2 linked regions of the Macaca fascicularis genome follow. The protein of the gene in region 2 interacts with the protein of the main gene of each other region in a biochemical or structural test. Links are inferred from orthologs where the notes say so. Each region holds a gene or a part of one and is shown on either strand. Other genes may lie near its edges.

Region 1 (15,436 bases), on a different chromosome or scaffold from region 2:
CAGTGGCACAATCTCGGCTCACTGCAACCTCCACCTCCTAGGTTCAAGGGATTTTCCTGCCTCGGCCTCCCAAGTAGCTGGGACTACAGGCACACGCCACCTCACACCTGGAATCCCAGCACTTTGGGAGGCCGAGGCGGGAGGATCACGAGGTCAAGAGATAGAGACCATCATGGTCAGGTGGTGAAACCCTGTCTCTACTAAAAATGCAACTTTGTTTCTCAATTCCATTCTCCACAAAAAGAAACCAGAGCTCTTTAGGGAAAGGATTAATTCCAGGTCTAGGGCAGGGAGAGTTAAGACTGAACTCCTGGCCAAGCACGGTGGCTCACACCTATAATCCTAGCACTTTGGGAGGCCGAAGCGGGCGGATCACGAGGTCAGGAGATGGAGACCATCCTGGCTAACACGGTGAAATCCCCATCTCTACTAAAAACACAAAAAATTAGCTGGGTGTGGTGGTGGGCACCTGTAGTCCCAGCTACTCTGGAGGCTGAGGCAGGAGAATCGCTTGAACCCAGGAGGTGGAGATTGCAGTGAGCCGAGGTCGCACCAATCCGAGCGGAACTCCGTCTAAAAAAAAAAGACAGAACTCCCTCTCTTTTGGTGCTATCAAGTAAGGAAATGCTCAATAAATGATGTTGGGGGCATGTTAAAGATGCAAAAGCCAGCTTTAAGGGGCTCCCACTGGCCAAATCAGGGACAATTTGAGTATCGGAATATGTAATGATAATAAAAGATTAGATAATAAGTTAATGATAAGAGACCCATGGGTCTACACAAAGTCTCAAAGTATCTCCCCCCAAGTTATTTACCTTAAAGGAGAAAACTTCGCAGTGGAGGCACATGACACCTTAACCAAAGTGATCAAAGTTTCAAAATAACAGGACAAATTGAAATTTTGTGCCACCTGATAGGATCCAAAAATAACACAGCATTGCTTCTGTGATATTCTTCCCAAAGATGCATAATTCAAATCCGATCATGAAGAAACAGCAGACAAACCCCAGCTGAAGGATGTTCTACAGAAAACAGGCCTGTATTCTTCAAGTGAAGGTCATGATGGTCAAGGAAAGACTGAGGAAATATTGGATAGGAAGGAGACTAAAGAATCATAACTAAATAGTTCAGGGAACAAATTATTTTGCATTGGGCTTGCAACTTTTCTGTAAATTTAAGGTTATCTCTAAGTAAATTAGCATAACCTCAAAAATAATGATAACATATGAAAATTAAAGACTAAACCCCCTTATGTCAAAAGATGCAAAATTATATATTTTGAGCTATATGTATTTAAAAATTTTATCAACAAGTGTTTGGCTCCAAAATGCAAGAATGTTTAGATATCAGAAAACTCTATGTGTTATTATACCAAATTATATGCCCAAAAAACAAATTTACAGAGTAAATAAGAAATTTTAATCATATTAGCAGGTGAATAAAGAGCATATATAAATCTAAAGTCATTCGTAGTTTTTCTAAACATCTCTAAGCAAGCTAGGACTGAAGGGGTAAATAAATAGCTCAGTAAAAGGTATTTATAGGGGAAAAAAACTCTAACAGCAAACATCACACTCTATGGCAAAAGTTAAACATTATTTCCTTTAAAATCAAGAATAAGGAATCAGAAACATCTTTACAGCCTGCTGTAACTGCTTCTTTTCAATAAGATATTGCACTTTCAGCCAATGCAAAAAAGACTAAAAGGCTTTAAGAATCGAAAAAGAAGACACATACGATGCTAAAGAATTATAGGCTGGGCATGGTGGCTCATGCCTGTAATCCCAGCACTTGAGGAGGCCGAGGCGGGCGGATCACCTAAGGTCAGGTTCCAGACCACCCTGGCCAACGTGGCAAAACCCTGTCTCTACCAAAAGTACAAAAATTAGCCAGGTGTGGTGGCAGGTGCCTGTAATCCCAGTACTCAGGAGGCTGAGGCAGGAGAATCGCTTGAATCCAGGAGGCAGAGGTTGCAGTGAGCCAAGATAGAGTCACTGCACCCCAGCATGGGCGACAAGAGTGAGACTCTGTCTCAAAAAAAAAAAAAAAAAAAAAAAAATTAAGAATTATAGTATGGTATTTGCAGATGGATAGCAAAGAAACCAATTCAGTCCTATCCATAAACTTATCTATAGATGGGACATTGCTATAGAATACTGAGTGTCATAAATCAGTGTGAAAAGAATAAATGATGAAAAATTGGTGCTAGGCTATCCATATAGGAAAAAACACAAAAACTATTTCCATGCCTCACATCATACACAAAAGCAGATTAAAAGCATAAAATGTGCAGATCAAAACTTTGAACTTAGGGGAAAAATGCAGAAAACATCTTTACAATTTTAGGATTAGGGGAATTTTTTAAAGCACTATACACAAATGTAGCTCTTATAAACACTGATGATTGTTACACATTAAGGTCAAATGATCTGTATGACCAAAAGAAGTGAAAATGTGGGAGAAGGTATTTGCACTAGATAGATAGAGCAGACCATGGATTAACATGTAGAACATATAAAGATGTCTTACAAATCAATAGAAATGTGTCTAAGACATGAAACCTGACAGTCAAAAAGAGTGAGAGTAAAAGATAGGCAGATACTTAACATCACTAGTAAGCAACAGGTACAAGTTAATACCGTAATAAATGATTATTTCACACTACACCAAAATGGCTGAAAAGATATTGAAAAGGCCAAGTGTTCACAGTGGGTGAAGGTTGAGGGATTGGCAACAAAAACAAAACAAAACTGTGTAAAATGTTGGTAGGAGTGTAACTTGACACAAGCTCAAGAACAGTTTGGCAATAGTCCCTGATTGCTCCATTTGTTTCTGGCTGGAGAAACTCACACATGTGCCTAAAGAAGTACTGTACAATGCCTGCAAATCTCAAAGAACTGGAAAGACCTTAACTGTCTAGCCATTAAGGAATGGATAAAGTTATTTTTCCCCCATAAAAGAACAATTAAAATGAGTGAATCAGGTCTATATATATCCACATGGCTGAATCTCAAATACATAATGGTGAGTGAGAACAGCAAGTTGCATAAGGACACACGTAATACCGTTTATATAAATCATGAAAGCCCACAAAATAAAACTCTATATTGGTTATGTATCTATACATGTGTAGTAAAATTATACAGTCATACAACAGCCCGATAGCCGCAGACTTTTGTTATCTCTGGGGAGGGTGAGAAGGAAAAGATATAAGGCCTTGATGTGGCCTCTTATGTTTCATATTTTAAAATTTGAAACAAGATTATCGATGGTAAATTGTTAACACCTCTGAGAAAAGCGGAGGGAATTTTGCCTCAGATATAACCGGTGGTGACTGCAGGGTAACAATTTTTATTATACAGGTGAGAATGTGAGTATCAGAGGGCACGAGGAGGAGAAAGCTGAGTCAGGGAGGTCACAGGACCAGGAGGCAGGAAGCAATTTATACACTGAAATAAAATGCAGATCAAGAAGAAATGCCTATAAGGACCAAACATCTTCCACTGATGAAACAAAGGCAAATCCCAATTCAACAGAATGAAATAAAACCCAGCAACCTATCACATTCCTCCATACTCACTATAGACTCTTTTAAATGACATTCAGTCCAGTGTTGATGAAGTTCACTTTTTCCCCCCCGAGTGAAAAATATCTGCCTTATTTCAAGGTTAATTTGCAGCACCTCCCCCTAAAACAATTATACTTATTTACCCACTGAATAAAACGTGTTGAATCTCTGCATTAAAAACAGCATCTGCTACATGTAATGGAGGAATACAATGGGACTATGAACTCTTCTAGTTCATCTAGTCCATAAAACAAACTATTATATAGCTATAATTTTTTTTCATTTTACAGGTAAAGAAACTGAGATTCAGACAGCTTAAAACCTACCACCATATCACCATGCTGACAAGTTAGCATGAGCCGTAATTCAAATTCAGTTTGCCAGACAGCCCCAAGACCCACACCTTTTCCCTATACCTAACTCCCTACGAGGTTGATCTTATGTCCTGCTCTCACTGTTCTATGTGGGCTATACTCACCATACACTTTATACTTATTTCCCCATACAATAGAGTCAGACTAGCGGAATATACCTTTTGAACCAGTAATTGCTCTCCTAGGAATCATTTGGAAAACAAGATAAAGAAAAGTTGTATTTAAAAAGTGGCAGCTCCAGACCGAGAATAAAAAATAAAAACATTAAAGAATAACAAGCAAATTCCTCCACATCAGGGACTAAACCCATTTTACAGGTCAAGAAACATCTGCATACAAACTAAGGAACCTACGTAAATTCCTATACTAGTGACGGTGGGGCCAGGATCTGAACCCAGGCAGTCTGATTCCCAAGCAGGCATGGTTAATGGTTACGCTATTGTTTTATAAGCCTTTTTGGTATCCACAGTAGAAATATATTTTACCTCATGATCCTGTACACACACACACAAAAGTAAAACAACTTCTACAAAACAACATTGACCTCAATATGTTGCAAAAACTTTAAGACGCTGATTTCGTCATGAAATTGTCTCATGGCCCACGATTTAAAAAACACACAATGCTTCAGTGCTTCAAAAATACAGTATTTATTGTAATAACTAGAGTAGCATGTAAAAAAAACTAAGTGGAACTGCATGTTTAGCAACACAGCTGAGTAATTATGAATATAAACAATTGCTATTTGGAGAAAATACACCACGTTCATTGCTTGGAACCATGAATAATACTTACATATGTAGGAAATATAGAAAAAATAAAATAGGTTAAGGTAATAAGGATATAGGCAATTACGTTTTTATTTTTAATTTTATAAAGACTTTTATTTTTCCTTACAAACTGGGATGCTTAAGAGACCCGATAATAGCTACTTTTTTATTTTCTTGGCACCAAAGCAACTTACTTATGTGTTCCTTCTGGCATATCTGTTTCAGATCATAGTCAAGTTTTCCAATTCGTTTTACTAAGCTAGGAAAATTTTTTATACCAAAAAAAGTAAAATCAAAGCAAAACAAATGCTCCTTTGTTTATAGATGAAAATCTGGAACCAAATAACACAACATTAAAAGAACAAAACTTTGCAAACACATCCTAAAGCTACACACATTGAAACGCTACAGAAATACGCTTCCTGGGTTCGTTCTCCCTTCCCCCGCTCCTCTGCACTGTGCCTTTGGGTCTCAGACCCTTGTCCCGGGGGTCCCTCTGAATCCACCTCAGATTTCAAGAGGATGGGGCTGAGCCACTGGGCTGAGGTCTGGCCCTGTTCTCCTCATCTGCCAACGCCTCACAGTACTGCGCTGGCCAGTCCTTGGGGTCTTGATTATGGACTTTGGCCACAAACTTAAGAACTTTCATCTTGCTGGTTTCCAGGTTGGTTCGCGGGCCCCACTGGAACTCGTAGTCCACGGGGTCGGTGTGGGGTATCCGCCGGTATTCCAGGTAACGTTGTCGCACAAAGTCCTCGGTAATGAGTTTCTTTGGATCTCCGAAAATGAAATGCTTCTTGGTGGGGTAGACCCCTAAGCGCCGCAGAAAGTCCCAGACTTCAGTCTCCTTGACGGTGTTGCCCTTCATAAAGATGAGCCCCAGGACGATCATCAGGAGGCCCGTAGTGGGCGTGCCTTGGTCACCCCTCACCTCGGCATCCTCCTCCACCGGCTCCAGGGTGTTGATGAGGATGTAAGTGTTGCTCTTGGGTTCAAGTTCCACCAGCTTATAACCGAAGACGTACTGGAGGCGCTCGGCGGCCCGTTTGAGGAGGTCGGGGAAGATGTCCTTGTAGTCCCCGATGACGTGCTTCAGTATGTCGGCCCGCTTGATCGGAATCTTCTTCTGGTCCTTAATCAGTAAGAACTGCACCAGCTCGGACACTTTCAGCTCCTGCTGCTTCTGGGTCCTGGGGCCCACGGCGGGGGAGGCCTGGGACCGGCGGGCGCCCTGCGACCCCTGCGAGCCGCCCGGCCCCCGGGAAGTGCTCGGGGCCTCCTCTGCGAAGCCGTCTCTGCGGGCCCGGGCGTGTTCGCCCGCCCGCGAGGCCCCGGAGTTTCCGCCACGGCTCCAGTCGCTGTCCCTCTCGGCCTGGCCGCCAGAGCGACCCCGGTTCCTCGGTTTTTGCAACATGTCACCGGCGACGCGTACCGGTGCACACTCCGGCAAGCAAGCAGCCGCGGCTGGGATCGCGGGTCGGCGACCCGCTAAGGCCGCTGCCTGGGCGGGGCCCCAGAAGGGGCGCGCAGTGTCGGCTGAGACTGCGTGCCGCGTCATGAAGCCTGCGCCTTGCGTCACGGCGGCTGGGCGGTGCGCCTGCGCGGCTGCGGGGCTGGGGGTACCAAAAGCATCCGAGATTTCTGTGCAGCCCTGCAGGTCTGGTCGGTGAATTTCAGTATAGCGAAGTGTTGTTCTTACTAAACCATGCAAGCAGAGAACGAGAACCGAAACTCCTAAACAAGTGTGTCGCTAAATTCAGGACCAGACAGGCTCAGGCAAGTTTTACAGACGGTATTATGAGTTTCTAATTCTAAATCGGGAGCATTTGTAAATGAAAAGATCTCACAGGATGAATGTGTGAGAAAGAAAAAAAAAAAGGTGAAGAGGAAGGTACGACCGTGGAAGTAAAAGCATTTATTTCTACACAACATGTAGAAGGATATAAAAAACCCAGAGGGCTCTTAGTTTTCGTCCCTCCGCTCAATTTTATACCCTCCAACCCACTGCCCCCAGTTACTTTCTCTAATGCCCCGTGGAGTTTGTTAAAAACAAAAGTCTGCTGCAGGCTTTCCGCGCAAGCAGGACTTCGGTTTCACTATTTCCGTATGTGTATTCTCTGCATTAAACTCCTTTAGCTAGACAACTATGAGAAAACCCCACAAAATTTGTCAATATTAAGTAAATGTTTTAGCTTGGTCAAATGAGTTTATCCTTTGGAAAACAACTGCCTTCAGCTCACAGCCACAATTTTAGCAGAAATGCGTAAGAGGAATGCTGCAAACGTGCACTCTCAAGAGATTACCACTTAATTTTGGGCATCACTGATCAAGAATTGCAATAATGTGGATCTCTTAAATTTCTTAATTCATAATATATTAGCTTTGAGAAAGAAAAGAGAACACAGGGGTATTTATCCCTCATCTATGATGTGTGCAGTCTATGTATATTTTAATTGTGCAACTCAAGTAGCCAAAATGAGTCATTTCATTAACTCAAACCATCAGCAATCTGCTGCCATTACTTCTACAGATCTTAGCAAATTTGTTTCTTCTCTATTTATTGACTTGCAAAGAAGAAACTGAATTTCCCTGTGTCTTTTTAAAGCTACCCAGAAAGTGGATAAACTCTTCAAAGAACCAAATCGAGTTCCTCTTTAATGCAAATATATTCAAAGGAAAGCAATTTAGAACACATTATCTGAATAATAGCATCAAACACAACCTTATTAAAATTTTGTTAAATGTTAGTAGCATAACACATTTGTTTGTAATTCAGTAGGAAAATGCAATCTGATAATGGCACTGGAACTGCTATAGTAAATGTAAAATCATATTCCATGAACTAATGCAAGTATGCTAAAATCTGATACGCAGTGAGTAATAACTTACTGTTCCACACAAGATACAACTATATCCTCAGGCATCAAGCTTAATGACAAAGGCCTACTACGAAAAACAAATATATTATCAAGGTATTCATTTTTTTACAATGAGAAAATTCATCTGCTTCAGTTTCCTTGCAAATTAAAATTTGGACTTAGGTTCATAAAAGCTTCCTGCCATCTAGAATTCTGCAAAAGGTCCCTACCACAGGATGTGGATGGTCTACCTTGAGTCAAAAAAGTTCGGTGACCAAGATATAAGGGGAAAGTGGAAAATTAAATAAAAGCTATTGTCAACAACTGGGCTGGTTTTTCAATGCTGTTTCTTGCTAAGGTATTCACTTACGTCACCAAGCAGTCCACCAATCAGGCTACCCCCATGACTGTGAAAATCAGCAGTGTCCTCTAGCAGCACTCTTACCTAGACAGCAGACTGTCATTACTCAAAATAGAGGAGAAGAGATGCCAGTTTGTAAGTCTGAAAACATCTCTCTACGCTCTGTCCAGAGGAATGCAGGTGAGAAAATGCACCCATAAAATAAGAGTATTAGAATTAGTATTAGAATTAGTATTAGTATTAGTATTAGCGTTAGTATTAGAATGAAGTTTAGGCCCTGCATGGAGAAGTCCCACATTCTTCTGCATGGAGAAGAAGACCCACATTCCACCTTGGATTAATACTGGAAGCTATGGATGTTTGGGGAGAAACTGGTGAAAACAATACTAACATTAGTAACAATAATATAAACGACAACAGTCAATGATTATATAGTAGTTGCTGCTCCATCTCCATGTCTGCAGTTTCACTTTCTTTGGTTTCAGTTGCCTGCAGTCAACAGTCTGAAAATATTAAGATATTTTCAGAGAGAAATCACAATATAACTTATTACACTATATTATATTTTTTCTACTTTATTGTTAGTGTCAACTGAAGGATGATGAGGTTCATAAATTTGGAAAGAGCTTTATTTCTCAAAGAGGGTTGCAGTCTGCGGGGTGGCCATTCCAACAGCCTGGGAAGCAAAACCTCATGCTAGAAGCCAGAAACAGACACTTCAATGGAGGGGCAAAGGGAGCACGAATCTATGCAGAGTGGGGTGGCCAAGTATACATATTTAATAAGCTATAGGAGGAGTCATGAATATTTACGCAAGGAGAAACGTGCACATGCGCAACTGCACTTCATGCCTCTCCATGGGACCCATATTCCAAAACTGGCAGTGTTAGCATGATCCAGGGTAGGAGTTTTCGGACCCTCTGATATCAGAAGGTGAAGCAGAGGACATGAAAACCCTGACTGCATGTCTTCCATAGACTGGCCCTAACTACTCCATGGTTGGTAGTCTTTTACCAGGAAGAACTGCTGGGCAGTTGTGCCAAAACTCCAAAAGGGAGGGGCAGCATCAGGTGGCTGGTTGATACCAGCGGTGGAGTCTTGAAGGGCTGATTTCTGTTTAGCGCTTAGGGAAGAAAGCCGAATGGCATTTAGAGCGGGAGAGGGTTTCCAAGGTTATTCTGGGGTCCCCTTGGTCAAGAAGGGGTCTGTTCAGTCAGCTGGAGGGCTTAAGTTTTCATTTTTGTTTCTCATTAATTATTGTTAATCTCTACTGTGACTAATTTATAAATGAAACCTTTTTTTTTTTTTTTTTTTTTTTTGAGATGGAGTCGCACTCTTATGCCACTGCACTGGAGTGCAGTGTCACGATCTTGGCTCAGTGCAACCTCCGCTTCCCACGTTCAAGAGATCCTCCCATCTCAGCCTCCTGAGTAGCTAGGATTACAGGTGTGTACCACCATGCCTAGCTAATTTTTTTGTATTTTTAATAGAGATGGGGTTTCACCATTTTAGCCAGGCTGGTCTCGAACTCCTGACCTCAAGTGATCCATCCCTCAGCCTCCCAAAGTGCTAGGATTACAGGCGTGAGCCACCGCTCCTGGCCTAAATTAAATTTTATCATAGGTTCATGTAACGATTAATGTTGAGTGTCAACTTGATTGGATTGAAGGAAGCAAAGTATTATTCCTGGGTGTGTCTGTGAGGGTGTTGTCAAAGGAGATTAACATTTGAGTCAGTGGACTGAGAGAGGCAGACCCACCCTCAATCTGGGTGGGCACCATCTAATCAGCTGCCAGCGCGGCTAGAATAAAGCAGGCAGAAGAACGTGGAAGGACTTGACCTGCTGAGTCTTCTGGTCTTCATCTTTCTCCCATGCTGGATGCCTCCTGCCCTTGAACATCAGACTCCAAGTTCTTTGGCTTTTGGATTCTTGGACTTACACTAGTGGTTTGCCAGGGGCTCAAGGGTCTTCAGCCACAGACTGAAGGCTGCACTGTTGGACTCCCTATTTTTGAGGTTTTGGGACTCGGACTGGCTTCCTTGCTCCTCAGCTTGCAGACAGCCTATTGTTGGGGCTTCACCCTGTGATCATGTGAGTCAATACTCCTTAATAAACTCCCCTTTATATATATATCTATCCTATTAATTCTGTCCTTCTAGAGAACCCTGCCTAATACAGTATGTATCTATGTATAGGGGAAAACATTGTGTACTTAGGGTACACAATGTACCTAATTGTGTGTCCATGATTTCAGGCATCCACTGAGGGTCTTGCAACACATCCTCCACAGATAAGGGGGGACTACTAGACAAAGTGAACGGTGGGTCAGACCTTATTCCAGGTAGTTTACAGGTATGACTTCATTTAATCCCCACAACAAACCTATGAGGCATGTGCATTTATTATGTTTCTCTTCTCACAAACGGGCACAGGAGAAAATTGTGAAGTTTTGAGGGTCTACAGCAAGTAAGTGGTAGGTCTGGGATCTGAACACAGCCAATCTGCCTCCAGAGACTGAGCTTTTAACTGTATACTGATTCACAGCAAACAAAAAAGCCCTTGAAAAAGTAAGGGCTTTTGGATCAGATGAACTAACATTAGAAACCTGTATGATACTGGCAGAGCTACTGACACACCTCCACGCTTCAGTCTCCAAGTCAACAAAATGAGGCCTAATCCTGGCATCAAGATTAAGTGAGATAGATTTACCCAGTACCTAGCACAGGGCCTGGCAGGGTAGTTGGATAACAGTCTCCTTCTTTCCAGGGATTTCTGTTAAGGAAAATAGTTGAGGACTACACAAAGTTGTATATACTGCAGGGGAGACAAAACCTTCCCTCCACCCTTGAAGGGACATGTCCTGTAAAACTTAAATGAAATTTGAATGCTTTTCTCCTGTTAATCTATTTTACGTCCATTTAAGTCTCAGGTCCAGCTGGGACCCTTCGAGGGTGGGGGGTGGAGCGCTCGTTAGGGAAATGAAGACCCAAAGAAGTGGCAAAACCTAAATGCTTTTACATTTGGTTGAACAAAGAGAGGTAACTGTGGGAAAAGTAAATTATGTGGGGAGGATAAAGGGAGATAATTATTTTAACAAAGTTGTTTGTACAGAATTCACTTGGCTTTGACTCCGCATTGAGTAATGTTTCTTTCCTCTTGGTACAGTAAAGCTATTTTTCACATGAGAGTTTTTTATCTCCTGTTTTCAGGAAGAAAAGAGGGAATTCAAATGGCCTTCTTGCATCTGCTGTTTTTCAAGTGCCTTTAGCTCAAAGTAATCCTTATGCCAAAGTGGCATATTCTGGGCATATTCTGCCATCTTTCAGTAGAACGATGAGAAAGATGTTCACTGCAGCAAAACACATGTACACAAAAATCAAAAGGGCTGAAAAGAAATACATCTATCAAGGTGCTATTAAAGTTAATTTGCTTTTAAAAATCAAAATCAACCCTGATTTTCTTGCTTGGGAGATGAATGAAAAATATATTTTCAATGAAGTGTCACTTCAAAGTGACACTATGCCATAGCAGCTATGCACATTCACATGTTCAATAAATTCAGTGTGATTTGAATATGGCATTTGTGACTTTCTGTTCAGGCAGTGAAGTCACAAAGACAAGTGGTTAAAAAAGAAAAACATTTTCAAACACTTTATGTTAATGACCTTCATGCTTTTATTACTAGACCCAAAAGAAAAAATCAAAATTCTTTGAGGCAAAAGCTAAGCTAGCTAAGATTTCAAGTGCAAAGGACAAGGAAATGCCTACTACAAATTGCTCTTTAGATGTTTAGAGTAATTAAATGTTTTGTCTTTTCGATAGCAAATGCCTGCCAAGAAACTCTAATCATCTTTATTATCTACTAGATTCTCCTCTTCATTCATGGTATTTCTCGTGAATCAGAAAAACGCTTTAATTTTTCTGACAGCAACACAGTGCTAAAAGCAGGTGAGGACTTTTTAAGAAGAAAGGCAATGATCAAAGCATGCAGCCACCACATATGAGCTGTTCTCTGCCTTTTCCAGTGGAAGAAAGTGGGCCAATGTGCAGCATGTGAGCAAGGGAGCTGGGAGGCAAATACTATTTTGGTGGGTAGACAGCAGGAAAAGCGATCCAGACATCTTAATGGTTGCAATAAAGTCCCTTGTGTCCACACATTTACAACAGTTATATATATTCATTCTTAGCAAAGATCCCGCCTGCTTAGATCACATGGTAGACTACCTAATAACACTTTGTCCCTCGTAAATGTGTATTTTGATGAAGCAGCAACGGAGTTTTCCTTGGCTGGTGGAAGCGAGTGGAGAGGCGGGCCTTCATAAGATAGTGCTTTCCAAGCATTGCAGCCATTTGCCCAGAAGCCTGGTCTTAGACTCTCTTTTCAAGAAATGTGTCTTCCAGATATCCAGGGCCCTTTACTTAGGAAAATCATTAGGGCCTACTAAGTTATAAAATTACAAACATCCACGGTCTTGATAGTGGTCACTAAGATTCTCTTGTTTGCTTGGTTTCTAACCCCTCTGTTCTGTATCCTTTCCCTGTAGGAACGGCCTCTTCCCACCTTTAAGAGACCTTAGTATAGGGCTCTGCCTTCCTTTCCTGAGTGCACAGGATTCAGGCCAGACACAGTGACTGGTTCAGAAGTTCAGTCAGCATCCTTCCAGGATATTCAGATAGATATTCTCGCTCCTCTGAGCTAACAAGCTGAGGGGTGATGTAAGCCTAGCCACCTGGGCCCTTGCTTCTGAAAAACTTGCCTCAGGGCGAAGCCAACTCAAAAGAGATCTAGGACATGGGGAAACAATCTTCATGCTGCCATTTGAATCCCTGGATGCTGAGTTCAAGATCAGACTCCTGGAGATAATGAATTACTAGAGCATCTCCTTTTGCTTCATCTGCTTTGAGTTGGTTCCTGTCACTTGAAAGTGAACAAGGTCTGGCTGAATCAGTAGCCAATCCTATTATTCAGGGGAAAAGAGGGTAGTAAGAAATGAGACTTTGGAGCTAGGGAAGGTTAATAATGAGGAGTTTTGAATATAATGAGAGGTGAATTGAAAACAATGTGACATTTTTGTTATGTTTCTTCCCAGTGTTCTGTGGTTGGGGAATGAGCTCATCGTTTGAATTGGTGGCAACAGGGGTAAGGGAGAGACAAATTATGAAGAGCTGTGCTTTTCCATATGGAAAGTATATATGGGCCAGGCACAGTGGCTCACGCCTGTAATCCTGGTACTTTGGGAGGCCGGGGCGGGCGGATCACTTGAGGTCAGGAGTTTCAGACGAGCCTGGCCAACATGACAGAACCCCATCTCTACTAAAATTACAAAAATTAGCCAGGCCTGGTGGCGGGTGCCTGTAGTCCCAGCGACTCGGGAGGCTGAGGCAGGAGTCGCTTGAACCCGAGAGGTGGAGCGTGCAGTGAGCCGAGATTGTGTCACTGCACTCCAGCCTGGGCGACAGAGCGAGACTCCGTCTCAAAGAAAAAAAAAAGTACAAATGAGCTAATCTGGTGATTTATCTTTACAGAAAGGAGTTTTACACAACTTGGAATATAAATCAAAGCAGCAGTCCCCAACCTTTTTGGTATTAGGGACCCGTTTTGTGGAAGACAGTTTTTCCACGGAAGGTGCGGAGGTGGGGGGATGGTTTCAGGATCCCTGCCTGTACAGCTCACAGTAGGGCTCATGGCCCTATGAAAATCTAATGCTGCCACTTATCTAACAGGAGGTGGAGCTCGGGCAGTAATGCTCACTCGCCTGCCACTCACCTCCTGCTGTATGGCCAGGTTCCTAACAGGCCACGGACTGGTGCTGGTCCACAGCCCAGGGTTTGGGGACCCCTGCCTTAAAGCATCTGCTACTCTAAAGTGTCTGTGTTCTCCATATTTAACCCAAAGCACTTGACCACTTGCTATACCACGCAAGATGCCAGAAACCTCATTCTTCCAGACTACACTTTAGCCTAAAGTAGAGATATATGCACAGGAAAGAGCTATGTCCACAAGCAGAGCTGACAAAGCCAATATCCAGACAGGGGCAATGCAGATGAGTTATGAGAAAACCGAACACATTGAAATGGAAAAAAAATAACATTAGAGAAAAAATAAACATATTCAAGGCAGACAAGAAAGACCCCATGTATGCATACCTGGTGGTCTTGAGGGAGATAACAACCATAAAGAGAAGAGATGACTGTAGGAGTCCTGGGGAGATGGGTTGCCACAGGCCCCGCCTCTCTGATCCCACCCCCGCCACCGCAGCTCCCTCCCTTAGACTAATAACCACAGCAAGCATGCTTTCAGGACTCTGGGTTCTCCAAGATCTGCAGAAGAGAGATCTAGCACAGGGATCCTCCCTCCCCGAGACACAAGTGAGAGCTTAGCAACTTCATGCGGAGAAGAGGGCTTGCCCCTTCCCAAGGCCTGGGAAAAGCAAGGACTGTGTGGTACCTGTGGGGTCTGTGCTGGCAGAAGCCTGTGTCTCCCTTCTGAGAGAGTCCACAGCTGTCCCCTTTCTGAGAATAATCCTCCGAGACCCTGTTCCAGGCTGTCGTTCTTCAGGAGAGCCTCACAGGCAGGCCAAGTGCTGCCAGGCCTCAAGGTTGGGAGAGCCAGCAGTTTGCCTCCTGTGAGGCCCGGGCTGCACGAGGCCCTTCGTAGTACGTCAGCAGGCATGTAGACAGTGCGCCCTCTGATGCACCGTGGCCAGAAAAGCAACACCTGCTGGGCCTCCTGCTACTTGCCAGCCTCATACTTTTCCAGTGACTCCCAACAGCATGACCCACAGAGGAAAGGGAGAAGCCCCAACCCTATTCCGTTTATCCCACTGGATATCCCTGGCCTCTTTTCTGCAAATCGGTTGACCACAGATGTATGAATTTATTTCTCAATTCTAATCCACTGCTCTACGTGTGCACTGGTTTCCCGGGGCTGCCGAAGCGGAACGCCACAGCCTGGGGGCTTAAACAACCAAGTGGTTCCTCACAGTTCTGGAGGCTCCAAGTCCGAGACCAAGGAGTCGGCATGGTTGGTTCCTCCTGAGGCTTCTCTCCTCGGCCTGCGGATGACCACACACTCATGGTGTTCTCAGCTGACCCTTCTCTGTGCATGCACATCCCTGGTGTCTCTTCCTCCTTTTGTTGACTATAAGGACACCCGTCCTATTGGATCAGGGCCCCACTGTAAAGGCCTCATTTTAACTTAATCCACTTCAAGAACTTATTTCCACACACAGTTTGTAAGTCTCAGGTTGAGTCTTGCGAATTCTGGGGGAGACACCGCAGCCCATCACATATGTCGATGTGTGCCACTGCTACACTGCCTGGTTACTACACAGTGTTAGTAAGTTTTGAAATTAGAAGGTGTAAGTCGTCCAATTCTGTTATTTTTCAGGATTATTATGGCTATTCTGGGTCCCTTCCATCTCCATAGGAATTTTAGAATCACCTTGTCAATTCCTGCTAAAAATTTAGTTGGAATTTTTTTTTTTTTTTTTTTTTTTTTTTT
Region 2 (16,048 bases):
GATGCTTAACTTCTCTAGTAATTCAGGGAAAAGCAAAGCCAGTGTTCCATACTCATCAAATTGGCAACAGTTTTAAAGCTTATATCAAGAGTGGTGAGGATCTGGCGAATACTCACCAAAAGCAGAGATGTGAATAAACTTCAGGTGAAAATGTGATTGTTATAACCATTTTGGAAAACAGATTGGGAATATTTATTAAGGTTGAAATGCTCCAACATCCTCCTGCCCCCATGATGCCTCATGATGGCCTCCTCCTGCCCCCATGCATGCTCTTGGGTAATCTCCTCCCATTGAATGTGGGTTAGGCCTAGTAACTCACCTTTAATAAATAGAATGTGGCAAAAGTATTATGATGTCACTTCTAGGAATTGCCTTGCAAGAAATGTTAAAAGAGGTTCTTCAGAGAGAAGAAAAATAATATTGGTTAGAAATATGAATCTACGTAAAGAAAGGAAGAACATTGAAATGGAAATAAATTAAGGTATAAATAAAATAAAATATTTTGTTTTTCTTGTTACTAATTGATCTAATAACAGCTTGTTCAAAATAATAGTATCAATATGTTGAATGATTATAGTATATATACTAATGAAACGAATGACAGAAATGATTATTAAATCTGTTATAAGAGACTGAAGGAAGGAATTGGAAATAGTATGTTACAAGGTGCCTGCACTATTCATGAGAAGTTATAGTGTTATTTAAAAGTGAACTTGGACTAGTTGTAAATGTATATTGTAAGCTCTAATCACTAAAAAAGTAAAAATAAAAAGTAAACTTAATATGCTAAGAGAGGAGAGAATAAAATGCTTAATTAAAATCAGAGAAGCTGGGTGCAGTGGTTCATGCCTGTAATCCCAGCACTTTGGGAGGTGAGGTGGGAGGATCGCTTGAGCCCAGGAGTTCCAGACCAGCCTGGGCAATATAGGGAGGCCTCATCTCTACAAAAAAAGTTAAAAAGTTAGCTGAGCATGGTGGTGTGTGCCTGCAGTCCCAGCTACTCAGGAGGCTGAGGTGGGAGGATTACTTGAGTCTGGGAGGCAAGGCTGCAGTGAGCTGACATCACACCACTGTACCCCAGTCTGAGTGACACAGTGAGACTCTATCTCAAAAAAACAAAAAGACAAACAAAACAAAACAAAACAAAAAAAGCTGAACATGGTGGCTCACACCTGTAATCCAGCGCTTTGGGAGGCCAAGGTGGGTGGATCACCTGAGGTCAGGAGTTCAACACTAGCCTGGGCAACATGGTGAAACCCTCCTCTCTACTAAAAAAATACAAAAATTACCTGGGTGTGGTGGTGGGCACCTGTAATCCCCGCTACTCAGGAGGTGAAGGCAGGAGAACCGCTTGAACCTAGGAGGTGGAGGTTGCAGTGAGCCGAGATTGAGCCACTGCACTCCAGCCTGGGTGACAGAGCAAGACTCCATCAACAAGAAAAAAAAAAAAAAAGAGCAAGGGCATCAAATAGGGAATAGTTACAAGTACTACAAGTGTGGTAGATATTAATCCAACTATATCAGTAATCACTTTAAATGTGAATGATCTAAATGCACCAATTAAAAGAGACTATCAGAATGGATTTTAAAAACAAGACTTAACTATATGTTATCTTCATGAAACCAACTGTATAAAGACAGAGATAAACTAAAAGTAAAGGGATTCAGAAATATATACCATACTAACAGTAATCAAAAGAAAGCCAGATTAGCTATGTTAATTTCAGACACAGCAGATTTTAGAACAAGGAAAATTATTAGGGACAAATAGGGGTGTTATGTAATGAAAAAGGAGTCAGTTCTCCAAGAAGACGTAACAATCTTCAATGTGTATGTGCCTAACAACAGAGCATCAAAATATATGAGTCAAAAACTGATAGGACTTCAAGAAAAAATAGATGAATTCATAATTATAGTTGGAGACTTCAACACCACTCTATCACTAATTGACAGATCCAGCAGGCAGAAAATCAGTAAAGATATAGTTGAACTGAATAGCACCATCAATCAACTGGATCTAATGGACATTTATAGATAACTTCATCCAACAAAAGCAGAATACACATTCTTTTCAAGCTCACATTGGACATTCACCAAGATTGACTACATCCTGGGCCATTAAACATGCCTCAACAAATTTAAAAGAATAGACACTATACAAAGTATCCTCTCAGACCGCAATGAAATTGAATTAGGAATCAATAAAAGAATGATAGCTGGAAAATCATATAGTATTTGGAGATTAAACAATACACTTTCAAATAAAACATGGGTTAGAGAAGAAGTGTCAAGATAAATGTTAAAGTATTTTGAGATAATTTACCAAAATATGTGGGATGCAGCAAAAGCAGTGCTTACAGGGAAATTTGTAGCATTGAATGCATACATTAGAAAATAAGAAAGACCTTAAATAAATCACCCAAGCTTCCATCTTAGGAAACTAGAAAATAAAAGAGTAAATTCAGTCCAAAGTAAGTAGAAAGAAACAGGCAATAAAATTAAAACAGGAATCAATGAAATTGAAAACAGAACAATAGTAGAGAAAAAATAATACAATCAAAAGCTGGTTCTTTGAAAAGGTCAACAAGATTGAGAAACCTATAGCCAGACTAACCAAGAAAAAAAGAGAGTAAACAGAGTTACTCATATCAGAAATTACAGAGGAGCCATTGCGACTGACCTCATGGACATTAAAAGGATAATACAAAGTATTATGAACAACTCTATGGCCACAAATTTGGTAACTTAGATAAAATGAACAAATTCCATGGCTTGTTTTTAATGAATAAGATATGGCAAAAGTGATGGGCTCTCACTGCATCTTTCCTCTTGGGATCTCTCTCTCCCTCTCTCCAGCTACCATGCTGTGAGGAGACTTAGGAAGCCTACGGATAGGTCCACATGACGAGGAAACAAAGTCTGACAACAGTCACATGAATTAGCTTAGAAATGGGTCTTCTTTGGCCTGTCGACAACCATGTAAAAGAGCCTGGAAGTGGACCTCTTACCCTACTTGAGCCTTCAAATGAGACTGCAACCCTAGATGAGAGGTTGGGTGCAACCTCATAAGAAGCTTTGAGCCAGAGGCACCTAACTAAGCCATGCCTGGATTCCAGACCCATGGAAACCGTGATATGATAAATGTTTGTTGTTTTTAGCTGCTATGTTTTAGGGAAATTTGTTATACAGCAATAGATAACTACAACATACTCTTTGACCAAGAAATTCTATTTCAGTGTTTCTATACTGGAGCAATTTATTTCAATCCTTTTCACATCAGAACATATATTTAAAATGCTAATATTGTGTCAGCTCATTGGAATAAACAGACAGTGTGCTCTTGGCCAGAGGCAACAGTCCCTAGGGGCAGCTGCTGAAGCCAGAGCTACCTTCCTGTAGATCTAAGGGGATCAATATATCAGAACACTTATAACTCAGTTGGGAAGCTCTGCCCTGAAGAAACTCTTCTATGTAGGCACAAGGAGCCATGCACTAGGATGTTCATTGAAATCCTCACTTATAATTGCACAAAACAGAAACAGTAGGAAAAGAGATAAATTAGATAACTTATGCAAAAGAAGGCCATACAATAATACGTTATAGTAATATATTGGATAATTGATACAGTAATATTCAGCAGTTAAAATGCATGACTTAGATCTACAGGTATCAAAATTGCTGAGTTTCAAAAATCAATAGAGTGAAAATCTAAGTTGCAAAAGTATATATTTATAATGATACCATTTGCATAATTTAAATACATGAAAAAAATTGTGTATTGGTCACAGATATATATATATCTATAAATATATACTACATATATGCACAGATATATATATACACATCTGTAAATATATACTACATATATGCATATATGTATATATATACACATACACATACATATACACATATACATATATACACATCTATCTATACATAGATATATATATATATACACACACAAACATGAACAAGACGAGAGCACATCAACTTCCAAATAAGGCTTATTTTCAAGAGAGAGGTCAAGTGAATAGGATGAAGTGAGAGCTTCAACTGTACTATTTTGTTTCAAAAACAGAAGGATCTGAGGATCTGGAGAAAATAAAATTTGCGCAATCCATGTGACAGGTGCATTCAAATGTGTATTTTGTATTCTACTTTTCTGTATAGTTGACATATTTAAAAATATTTTATAAAGAAAATGTATCCTCTCTTGAGTCCAAAAATACATATACAAGCTGGGCACAGTGACTCAAGCCTGTAACTCCAGCATGTTGGGAGACCGATGCAGGTGGATCGCTTGAGGTCAGGAGTTTGAGACCAGCCTGGTCAACATGGTGAAATCCCATCTCTGCCAAAAAATACAAAAACTAGCTGGGTGTGGTGGTGAGCACCTGCAGTCCTAGCAACTCAGGAGGCTGAGGCAGGAGAATTGCTTGAACTTGGGAGGTGGAGGTTGCAGTGAGCCAAGATTGCACCACTGTACTCCAGCCTGGGTGACAGAGCAAGACTCTGTCTCAAAAAAACAGAAAACAAAAATACATATACATTCAGTATATTGTATTGTCCCATTTCCTCATATCATTATTTATTTTGCAGTCTATTTGATTTATCTATACCATAAGAAATGAGGTGAAGTTTCCCACTATAATTGCAGACTTCCTGATCTCTCTTTATATTTCTAACAGTATTTGTTTTATATATTTTGAAACTATGTTGTTTGGCACATAAATTTTTGTGACTATCATATTTTTTTTAAAAAAATGCGTTGTTCTGCAACATGCTTTTTTCACTTAATATATTTATATTAGATCAGTATGTATATACTTGCCTTATTTCCTTTCTTCTTCTTTTTCTCTTTCTTTCTTTCTTTCTTTCTTTCTTTCTTTCTTTCTTTCTTTCTTTCTTTCTTTCTTTCTTTCTTTCTTTTTTTGAGACGGGGTCTGAGTCTATTTTCTAGGCTGGATTGCAGTGGCGCAATCTTAGCTCACTGCAGCCTCAACCTCCTGGGCTCAAGTGATTCTCCCACCTCAGCCTCCCAAGTGGCTGGGACTATAGGCATGTGCCATTGTGCCAAGGAAATTTTTACATTTTTTTGCAGAGATGGGGTTTCACCATATTGTCCAGGCTGGTCTGAAACTCCTGGGCTCAAGCAATCCTCCTGCCTTGGTCTCCCAAAGTGCTGTGATTACAGGTGTCAGCCACCATGTCTGTACATGAGCCACCAAGCAACATGTTTAAGTAAATTTAAGCAATTTATTTGTTGAGGAGAATTAAAGTGGTTTGCATTATCTTGCTACACTCCTATTCACATATCTTTCTCCACTTGTGTGTCTCAATAGAACACACAACAGAGAAGTTGACTAGAAGTAGAATTGCTAGATGAAAATGTATCTCAAAAAAAAAAAAAAGAAAGAAAATGTATCTCCATTTAAAAAATTGATAGCTTCAGATTTCTCGCCAATGAAGTTCAATTATTATTATCATTATTATTATCATCATTATTTTGAGACAGCATCTTGCTTGGTTGTCCAGGCTGGAGTGCAGTGGCGTGATCTCCACTCACTTCAGTCTCAACCTCCTGGGCTCACACAATCCTCCTGCCTCAGCCTCCTAAGTAGTTGGGACTACAGGCACACACCATCAGCTTGTCGTATCTTTCTGAGTGAATAAAACAACCTGTTTTGTTCTCTTTAGTGCTTTTTACTCTGAGTTCTCGATGTTTAGGATATTGATGTTGTTACGAGTTTCTTTCCTCCTTCCTTTTCTTTCTTTTTTTTTTTTTTTGCTTCTTTCTTTCCCTCATTCCCTCCCTCCCTTCCTTTTTTTCTGCTAGTATTTTACTGTCATATATATATTTTTTCTATTTCTGCTTTAGGTGAAACTCACAGAAATAGTATATAACTTGACTTTTAAAAACAAAATCCTCAAAATAAGAGTTTGGTTTTTATTAGGAGATGTTAACCCATAATGCATGCTGATATATTTAGATTCCTGCGTTTTTGTTTACTTTTTGCATCCTTTTTTTTGCACACCCCCAGCAACATTTCTTGACCTTTGTTCAGAATGAGTTTTTCTCTTTGTTCCACATATTATTACTTTAATGGTTTGAAAGTTATACATTCTATTTCTATTATGTTGCTACCCCTAAGATTTTTGTTCTCTTGTGCATTTTGTTTCCAGTAAGAACAAAACTTTGCTACTGTTGTGAACATAGGAAATGTTTACATTGGCTGTAAATATTAGAGTTCCATTATAAAGCGCAATTTAAAGACTTCAGAATTCAGTAAAATGGTATAAATCCAAAAGGCATAACTGTAATATGTTTTAACTGCAATGCAATACCAGAATATGAACCTGTGTTGTGTCTTATGATCTCTTGAATAGAGAAGCTTGGTTTTGTGATTAGCAGCAACAAATTCAACACTAAACAGCTTCAGTTTGCTTTAACAATAAGGTTAAAAAAATTTAAGCTTACTGCAACCCTAAATATAGTTTCACAGGTTTAATACTTTCGGTACAACCATAACACGTAACATAGGATGTGATGTAGTAACGTAATTACTCTCACATTGGACTTAATCAGAAAGAATTTGCAGATTTTATTTTATTAAAAAAAAACACAGAAGGGAATATAGCTAAATATTTAACATTAGTTAAAGCTGGGTGTTCGTGACATTTTTCGCTGTCCTTTGCTGTATCCTTGACGATTTCATCATTTAAGATGAAATAATGCTTTCGGGCCCACCCTGATTTGTGGAAAGCAGCTGCCGCCCCCGCCACATCAAGGGGGCGGGCTCCAGCTGACTTCACAATCACTTCCGCCGCCGCAGTCGCCACCCGCCCCGCTGCTGTCTGGCGGGGGAGGAGCTCGAGACCGGGAGCAGCGGCTCTGGCGGTCGTGGCGGTCGGAGGTCCGAGAGCTCTGCTTCTCTGAAAAGCGTGTGGCTTTCTGGACTTGGTGAGTGAAAGGCTGATTGTTTCCTCGATTCATCCGGGCGCTGGCGGTGGCGCGAGTGGTCGGGCGCAGTGCGAGTGGCCGGGCACGGGGACGAGGATTTTGCGGGGTTCCTGGGAACTGCTTTTCAGGTTCGCCCCTCGGGAAGGGGTGGGGCGGACGCGGGACCTGACTGCAGAGTGAGGCCCATGTTCTACATCGGCCTGTTCTGGGGCCGCATCCTCCGCTGCCGGGAACCCCTTTCGTGTGGCGCGGTCCCCACTCGAGTGGCTTTCATCGCTATTGGGAGGGTAGTGGTGGTCGCGGCCCTCTCCCACTTCTCCCTGCCTCTCCTCCCCTCTCCTTCCTTCTTCCTTCCTCGGCCCCTTTGCGGAGCACTCCGTGGCCTTTCTTCCCATATTTTGCTGTTGTTTTGCCAAATGGTAAATGGTTAAGATTTTTAGGTAAAAATACTGTTCCCAGGGAAAAAATTGTAAGGAGGAAAAAATAATTATTCTCAGGGAAAACTAGACCCACGCACGCCCTTTTCTTTCATTTTGCCTCTTCCCTGCTACATCGGTTTGGGTCTCCCGTTTGAGCTGATGGCCTTTTCCCACCTCTTATTATGACATTGCGTACCCCCTACCCCACACCCCTCCGTGTCTCGCGAGCACGCGCCCCCGCAGAGAAGCTTTCCATTGCAGCCCCCTCCTTGCCCCTCCATCCTCAAGGTTCCAGTGCGTCTTCTCTCCCGCGCATGCGCAGGCACACGCAGCACACACCCTCTCACACACCCTCTCACACACCCTCTCACACACCCTCACACCCTCACATCCTCCCATGCCTTCCCCCTCCTCTATCCGCCTACCACATACACACCTCTAGCACCGGCCCCCTCCCTGCTCGGTCTCTGCGTGCTCTCGCGAACACATGCCTATTCACACACCCCCTCAGGCTGCTCTCCTTCTTCCTTCCTGTCATATACACACATAAGGACATCCTTCTATTGCTGGCCAGTGACATGCATATACAGCCACATGTGCTCATTCATACCCCCTCCTCAAATGCTCTCCTCTATTGATCTCTCTGCCACGTGTGTCAGACACAGCTCTTTCGCTGGTCCCTGAGGTGCACACACACACTCACATAAATCCTTCTATGGGGACACCACCTGCTTCCCTGCTTGCCATATCCACACAGGCAGGCATCGTTCTTTGATTGCCGGCCTCTGTTCCATCCACCTCAAGCGCATCCGTCTCCAGTGCTGCGCCACTCCCGACCCCCGCTTCCGTTTGTGCCTGCTGCATTTGCTCACACTGACATTTCTCCATTGTTGCCTCCCATTTTGACTAACATACGCACACACAAACTCTCAGACACTCCTCTCCATTGCCAACCATACACTCCCCTGCCTGTGACATACACATAAACATGGGCATCCTTCTGTAGTTTCAGCTGCCACACATACAGCGACACACATAAACACCTTCCCTTTCCTCATACATACACACACCCCTCTCCTCCAAAGCCACCCCACCCATGCCTGTCATTTTCATACCCACATCCAGAATCATTCTAACACTCATACCCTTTCCCCCTACAAACATAAACATCCCTCTGTTGCAGGATTGCTGGTCCCCTTCCACCTGTCCCTCTCCTCTTGATAGACACATAGGCACTTGTGCGCACACAGCGATCTGTATTTTCCACTCTATTCCAATTTGCATTTCTCCTGTATGTTTGCAGCACTCAGAAAAAGGCAGACACCCCATAAAAAGAAAACTACAGCAGTCTTTCCTTTCCCCACATTGGCACAATTCTACAGTACTTCACCCACCTTCCAAGTGTCCGGTCACCCCCCATCTTCCGTCAGATTCTCCCCTAAGTCTGGCTTTCCTGCAAACCCAGTCTTGTAATCATTTTGCCAACATTAAAAATGTGTTCCAGGTCTACACCTGTCACTGGAATGCTACTCCAGGCCTTAGAAGAAAGTGAAACTAAATTTAAAGGCCCCTTATTCTTTCAGTTACCTGCCTGCTGAAGTGAAAATAAATCTCCCTGCTCCTTTATTCTAAACTGATTTTACTTTCCCATCTGAAAAACGTGTGCAGGGAGCAGGAATCTTCCTGCCCCAGCCCCAGCTGTATTGAAAACCCTCCTAAGTCAGAGTGATGGGTCAGGAATCTAGCAAGCCTGTATGGCCCAATCCAACAGGAGGGTATCAGTCCAATACAGGTAGGAGGTATGGAAGAAGGCATGCTTATGTCAGTTTCAGGCCACCCACGAGCCAGCGGGAAAGGATTGCCAGCCAGAGAAAGACGAACTCCAAAGTCCCAATGCACAGATCAGCCTCCAGTCAAACCACCAAGAGGAGCCGATCGCCATTTTCCACTACTCGTCGTAGTTGGGACGACAGCGAGAGTTCGGGAACCAACCTAAATATTGATAATGAGGACTATTCCAGGTATCCGCCAAGAGAGTACAGAGCTTCGGGTAGCAGAAGAGGAATGACCTATGGACATATTGACTCTTATGGGGCAGATGATAGTGAGGAGGAGGGGGCTGGGCCTGTTGAGCGACCGCCAGCGAGAGGAAAAACTGGCAAGTTTAAAGATGATAAGCTGTATGACCCAGAGAAAGGGGCAAGGTCTTTGGCTGGGCCACCTCCACAGTTCTCTAGTTTTAGCCGTGATGTGAGAGAGGAGCGAGACAAGTTAGACCCAGTCCCTGCAGCAAGATGCTCAGCTAGCAGAGCTGACTTCCTGCCACAAAGTAGTGTGGCCTCACAGTCGTCTTCTGCTGAAGGCAAGGTGGCTACAAAAGGTGACAGCTTGGAGAGGGAGAAAAGGGAGCAAAATTTACCTGCACGTCCCAGCAGGGCTCCTGTGAGTATTTGTGGTGGTGGGGAAAACACCTCAAAGAGTGCAGAGGAACCTGTGGTCAGGCCCAAAATCAGAAACCTGGCAAGTCCAAACTGCGTGAAACCCAAAATTTTTTTTGATACTGATGATGATGATGATATGCCACACAGTACTTCCAGGTGGAGGGATACTGCCAATGACAATGAAGGCCACTCAGATGGCCCAGCAAGAAGAGGCAGAGGCGAGAGTTCAAGTGGCTATTCTGAGCCAAAGTACCCTGAAGACAAACGGGAAGTGAGGAGTGACCAAGTGAAACCAGAAAAGGTGCCGAGACGACGACACACCATGGCCGACCCTGACTTCTGGACGCACAGTGATGATTACTACAAATACTGCGAGGAAGACTCTGACAGTGACAAAGAGTGGATTGCTGCTCTGCGTCGGAAATATCGAAGCCGAGAGCAAGCCCTGTCCTCCAGTGGCGAAAGCTGGGAGACTCTGCCGGGGAAAGAAGAGCGGGAACCTCCACAGGCTAAGGTGAGTGCCAGCACTGGCGCCAGCCCCGGCCCCGGTGCTAGTGCCAGTGCCGGGGCTGGCGCTGGGGCCAGTGCTGGCAGCAATGGCAACAATTACCTTGAAGAAGTTCGAGAACCATCTCTTCAGGAAGAGCAGGCATCCCTGGAAGAAGGAGAAATTCCTTGGCTCCAGTACAATGAGAATGAGAGTAGCAGTGAGGGGGATAATGATTCTGGTCATGAGTTGATGCAGCCTGGGGTATTCATGCTGGATGGGAACAACAACCTTGAAGATGACTCCAGTGTGAGCGAAGACCTAGAAGTGGATTGGAGCCTCTTTGATGGATTTGCAGATGGGTTAGGAGTGGCTGAAGCCATTTCCTATGTGGATCCTCAGTTCCTCACCTACATGGCACTTGAAGAACGCCTGGCCCAGGCAATGGAAACTGCCCTTGCACACTTGGAGTCTCTTGCAGTGGATGTGGAGGTGGCCAATCCACCAGCAAGCAAGGAGAGCATTGACGCTCTTCCCGAGATCCTGGTCACTGAAGATCATGGCGCAGTTGGTCAGGAGATGTGCTGCCCCATCTGCTGTAGCGAATATGTGAAGGGGGAGGTGGCAACTGAGCTGCCATGCCACCACTATTTCCACAAGCCGTGTGTGTCCATCTGGCTTCAGAAGTCAGGCACCTGCCCTGTGTGCCGCTGCATGTTCCCTCCCCCACTCTAAAGACCAAGGTTGTTTACTCCTGGTCTGATTATTTTCCCCATCTGAAATCCACAATACTGCAGGAGCCCTCTTGAAATTAACAATGGAAACAAAACCAGTCAGTCAGTTAGCCTAAACCTATTGATTCCTCGTGATTATTTCCAATGTGAAAACAGTTGTGTATGATTGCATTAAAAATCATATCATCTTTTAGAGGTTAGAAAAGGGAAAACTAAACTTTATAAATGCTACTTGAGATTGCAGTAAGAACATACGTTTTCTAACCTGAAAGTTAAATCGCATTTGTTTTCTTCAGTAGAATGTGTTGCTGTTACTTGTAATGTCAAGTGTATCTGTTAAATATGTCCAAAAGGCAAAATCATTTTTGTTGCATGTTATGGGTCGATGTTCCTGTAATTGCAGTGCTGTAAAAGCTTATTAAAGTTTTTCTTTTGGTTTTACATGGTGTAATGGAATTCTTTGGTTTTGTCTGAAACAGTGGTACTGAATGACTTTATAATTGATCCCTTGCATTTGCATCAAAAACTTTAGTTTCACTGGAAATGCTGACTTCAACAATCGCAAAAAAAAAAAAAAAAAAAAATGAGGGCAGTGACTTTAAAAGTAGGAATAAAGTGTATGGTTGTCCAGCTACTACAGGGAAAAAGTCAAATAGATGAAGAAGGAAGAAAACAAAGAAGGAAAGAGAGAAACAATAAGAAAGCATGGTAAAGAAACAAAACAATGGCAGGATTAAGTCCAAACTGAATGTAGGGATGAATGAGTTGAAATCACCTTTGAGAAAATAGAAACTCTCAGAGGGAATGGGTCCAAAAAAATAAAGCTATATGCGAATTTTATAGCTTAACACAGTGACACAGATAGGAATAGAAAAAATATGCCACACAAGTGCTACAGGAAAATACAGGTACTCACCTACACAGAGTGAACAGGTTTTAACATTTGGCTATATTTGCTTCAGAGATGTGTCTCTCTCTCTCTCTCTTTCTCTCTCTCTCTCCCGCCACCCCTCTCTTCTCTCTTTCTCTCTCCAATAAATATATATTTTTTAAGCACAGGTGAAGTTCCTCAGCCCATAATATTTACCTTCTTTCTTACACAGAGGTAAGAAACACACCAGAAAATGGTGTGTTTACTTCTTGTGTGTGTCTTTAGACATATATATGAGTGTGTGTATGTATGTATATGTGTGTATATATTCATAATCAAATACAGTATTAATGTTTTTTAAATGGATATAATTGATAGACTATATATATCATTTTGCAACTTGAATTTTACGCTCAACAGTGTTTTGGAGACTTAGCCATTCCGATATATGTGGATCTAGTTCATGCAGTTTTAACTGCTGTATACAAAATATTAATTGTATGAATTACCACACCTTATTTATCCATTTCCCTACTGGTGAACACTTAGGTTCTTCCCAGCATTTTGCGGCAATGAACATACTAAACAGATGTCCTTTTGTGCACATGTGTGAAGTTCTCTAGAGGTAAGTATATGGAAGTGAAATTTCTGGGTTCTAGGGTTTGAGCATCTTCACCCCAACTAGATATTGCCAAATTGCTTTCCAAAGTCATTGTACTTGTTCATGCTCCTACTGACAGTTTCTGAGTGCTATTTCCGCACATCTCCAACAGGCTGGATGTTGTTCAAGTTCAACCTGACTCATAATCGGTGACATGTAAATTAACACACCGATGAAACATATTACATCTATCAGAAGCCAATAGCTTTTCTTCATGATAATATCTAGTTTGGGCTAGGAAGAGATGAAATGAAAAGACTCATGGGGTTGGTGTGCATATAAACTATAGCGGTCTTCTTGGAGAACAGTTTGGGTAGTAGCTATCTATCAGCATATTCAATTGGTGCGTGCACTTCAGCCCAACCTGGGTTCCTTGCTAGTATGGAATTAAAACTATGCAGCAGTTAAAAGTTGGATGTACTGATACGAAAAGATCTCCAAGACAGTGTTATGAAAGCATAGTGTAGAGTAATATGTACAGTGTTTGTGTAAAATAAAACCTTACAAAACCAAACTTTATATGAAAATGCCTAAGAATGTCTGGAAGGCGACATGCCTAACTGATGGCAGGGGTTACCTCTAGGGAGGGACGGAGGATTGGGGGAAAGCAGTCAGGAAGGAGGCTTTTGTCTTTCACCTGAAATAATGAATTTGCTTCATATTTTTTACAGTGTCAGTGCATTTTCATGAATATTATTACAACAAAATAAGCAAAATCAAAAAATTTTCCAATTAGGAAAAGCAGGATGTTATTCTTCTCTCACTGCAAGTACAGAAATGTGGGTTGAAACTGCAGCTCTTTTTTCTGCAACTGGTCAAGCTGATATTTATGACTTCATCCCTCACAAGTCATTCTAGGTTTCCCCTTGGCCTTCAGCCAGCACCTCAGCTGGTTATGGAGGCTCAGGAGTCTGAGTCCTTGGAGAGCCCTTTTAGGGTGGGGTTTTGGAGGTTTACCATTAACCTTTGCTGTGCTCTGACTGGCACCACCTAAGGAGGTGTTTTAGGAGCACGCTTGGGTCCTAATCATCTTCCTTTCTGTTGCTATTGCATAGCAGTGACCCTAATTTGCCTTTTAGTCAGAATTAGTCTCTGCACAGAAACAGAAAGGGACACTTACCCAGTGCTCAAAGCCCCCTGCTGGTGTGTTGGAGCAACCTGCTACTGCAGTGTCTTGGTGGACTTGAGGCGTGCTCTACCAGGAAAGCCCACAGGCCCCAGGACCTGTACTCCTGGGGCCCTGAGTAGCTGTGACTTGGACCTGGGACATGAACTAAGCCCATCATACACTCGTGCCCAGTACTTTAAGGCTGGAGGGAGAAAGTCAGAGAAGCAGGGATCCTGAAGCATTTGTCCCCATGCTGCTGTGGTGATGATGGTGGTGGCAGCAGGGGCGGCAGCAGCAGTGGTACAGGGTGGCAGTGATGTGGGTCCCGTGCTGACAGTGCTGGCAGCCAATAGCTCCTATGGCAGGATGTGGCTGTGTGCTTGGCTGCCCAGTTCCTTTGCTCTTGCCAGTTTCTGATTCTCCAGCCTCTCTGACAATTCCCCAATCTCCTCTATAGCTTTCCAATAAAACTTTTCGGATTCAACTAAACTAGCATTGGTTTCTGTTGTTTGTAACTAGGAACCCCAAGTACTTGCCAATACCATATCCCACTTTTGTGGCTGTTTTCCTCATCATATGAGATATTTCACATGGCCAAGGGTCAGGCAATTTCTGTTTATGATGCAGTGGACCTGTCATTGGCACCCAGGGCCATGGTTTTAGAACAGCAGGCCTCAGGGGCCTCCAGACATGAAGCAGTCATTTATGAAAATAAGTTGTTTGGGTATTCATTGAAGGTATCACCCACTACACTTTACTTCTGGGTTTCTGGTCTTGTTTTCTGGCTGTGAAATAAAAAACCCCGGATTTGGTCAATCATTTGAGGCATAAAGCACTACATCTTGCAAGAGAGCACTGTAACTTCCTGAGGTGGTCTCCCCAGCTGGCACTACAGCTGAACCATTAGAAGGCTCTTACTGTGCCCTAAGGCCCTACCCTTCTCTTAGCCCTTTGTTTCAGTGAAACCCTTCCATGGAAGTGCCTAGGGATCTCTGACCTGAAGTGTCCTTTCCAGCTCTGTTTAAATTTTATTCATCCTTTAAAAAGTTCATCTGTGGCCGGGCGCAGTGGCTCATGCCTGTAATCCCAGCACTTTGGGAGGCTGAGGTGGACTGATCACGAGGTCAGGAGTTTGAGACCAGCCTGACCAATGTGGTGAAACCCCGTCTCTACTAAAAATACAAAAATTAGCCAGGCATGGTGGCACGCGCCTGTAGTCCCAGCTACTCAGGAGGCTGAGGCAGGAGAATGGCTTGAACAAGGGAGGTGGAGGTTGCAGTGAGCCGAGATCGCACCACTGCACTCCAGCCTGGGCAACAGAGCGAGACTCCATCTCAAAAAAAGAAAAAAAAAAAAAAACTAATTTGCCAGCTCCTGGAAAGAAAAATTCAATATCCCCTAGCTCCTTGCCTCTCTGTGTCTCCCATCTCTAAGTTCTTGATGTCAAAAGCTATGTGTGAGCCATTTCTACAGTCCCAGCATGCACTGCTTGGCACAAAAGTGTTCTGCAACACTGGGTGACAGCGTGAATAGATTCCTCTCCCAAGGTAGGCTCAAGCAGGGGCTGTGTTCAGAGAACGCAGTAGGGGTCATGGGGACTTGGACCAAGCTTAGCCCCACTCCCACCCCCAGCCTCTGAGGCCCTGGCGCCCCCCTCCCCTCCTGCCACCCTCTCAACCCTCAAACTCTATCCCATTTTCTGTTTGTCCTGTGGAATCCCCAGTGTGTCAGAGGCTGTTCTCATACCCAAGGCCTGTGGAGAGAAGGTGGCATTTATCTGAAGATGGAGAAATACATGGCAACAAGCTTCAGCACACCCCTCTTTGGCCTGGATTGAACCTCTGAATAAAATGAAGCTGATAGGGTGTTTGCCGACACGGTCCCAGCCTTGCACAAGGTCTGGTGTGGAGCAAGCCAGATTCTGGGACCCCTGGGCAACCCTTTCAGCCTGCCTTGGCATATGCCTCTGCAGCCTGGAACTTAGTGGCTAGGCCCTTTGCTGTGGGTTTTGCTGACCCCTGGAGGCCCCCCTTCCTCCTGTTTCCTCCCTGGGTACTTCACTATCTCAAGAAGGGTGGTAAAACATTAGTGAGACTTCACAATCTCTCACATTTGGATAAGATTTCCCCAGACCCCTTTGCATTCACTGATTTCACTAGACCCTGCCATCAACCCCAGGTGAGTGGTAAGGAGACCAATGTTCAGAAAGGTGATGACATTCTGAAGACAGAGCAAGAGCATGTTTGCTTGGTGGGGGAGGGCAGCAGAGATGTTTTCTCCCCATCCATCCTAGTCCCAGCGTGGTGGGGAGCACCTGGGGATCTGGACGTCAATGTAGAACCCCCAACTGGCTGCAGCTAGACCCC

The links.
Region 1: the proteins of PJA1 (region 2) and NSMCE3 form a complex in vitro, tested with the Homo sapiens proteins (2 studies listed by BioGRID). The link is inferred for Macaca fascicularis from reciprocal best matches to the Homo sapiens genes PJA1 and NSMCE3.

Annotation. Positions count from the first base shown.
Region 1 is NC_088381.1:8,199,350-8,214,785, reverse strand, and holds NSMCE3 (non-structural maintenance of chromosomes element 3 homolog), read right to left. Parts: upstream 6,241-15,436; 5' UTR 6,127-6,240; coding exon 5,227-6,126; 3' UTR 4,577-5,226; downstream 1-4,576. UniProt on the Homo sapiens protein: Component of the SMC5-SMC6 complex, a complex involved in repair of DNA double-strand breaks by homologous recombination. The complex may promote sister chromatid homologous recombination by recruiting the SMC1-SMC3 cohesin complex to double-strand breaks.
Region 2 is NC_088395.1:75,888,348-75,904,395, reverse strand, and holds PJA1 (E3 ubiquitin-protein ligase Praja-1), read left to right. Parts: upstream 1-6,857; 5' UTR 6,858-6,961; intron 6,962-8,884; 5' UTR 8,885-9,108; coding exon 9,109-11,043; 3' UTR 11,044-11,483; downstream 11,484-16,048. UniProt on the Homo sapiens protein: Has E2-dependent E3 ubiquitin-protein ligase activity. Ubiquitinates MAGED1 antigen leading to its subsequent degradation by proteasome. May be involved in protein sorting.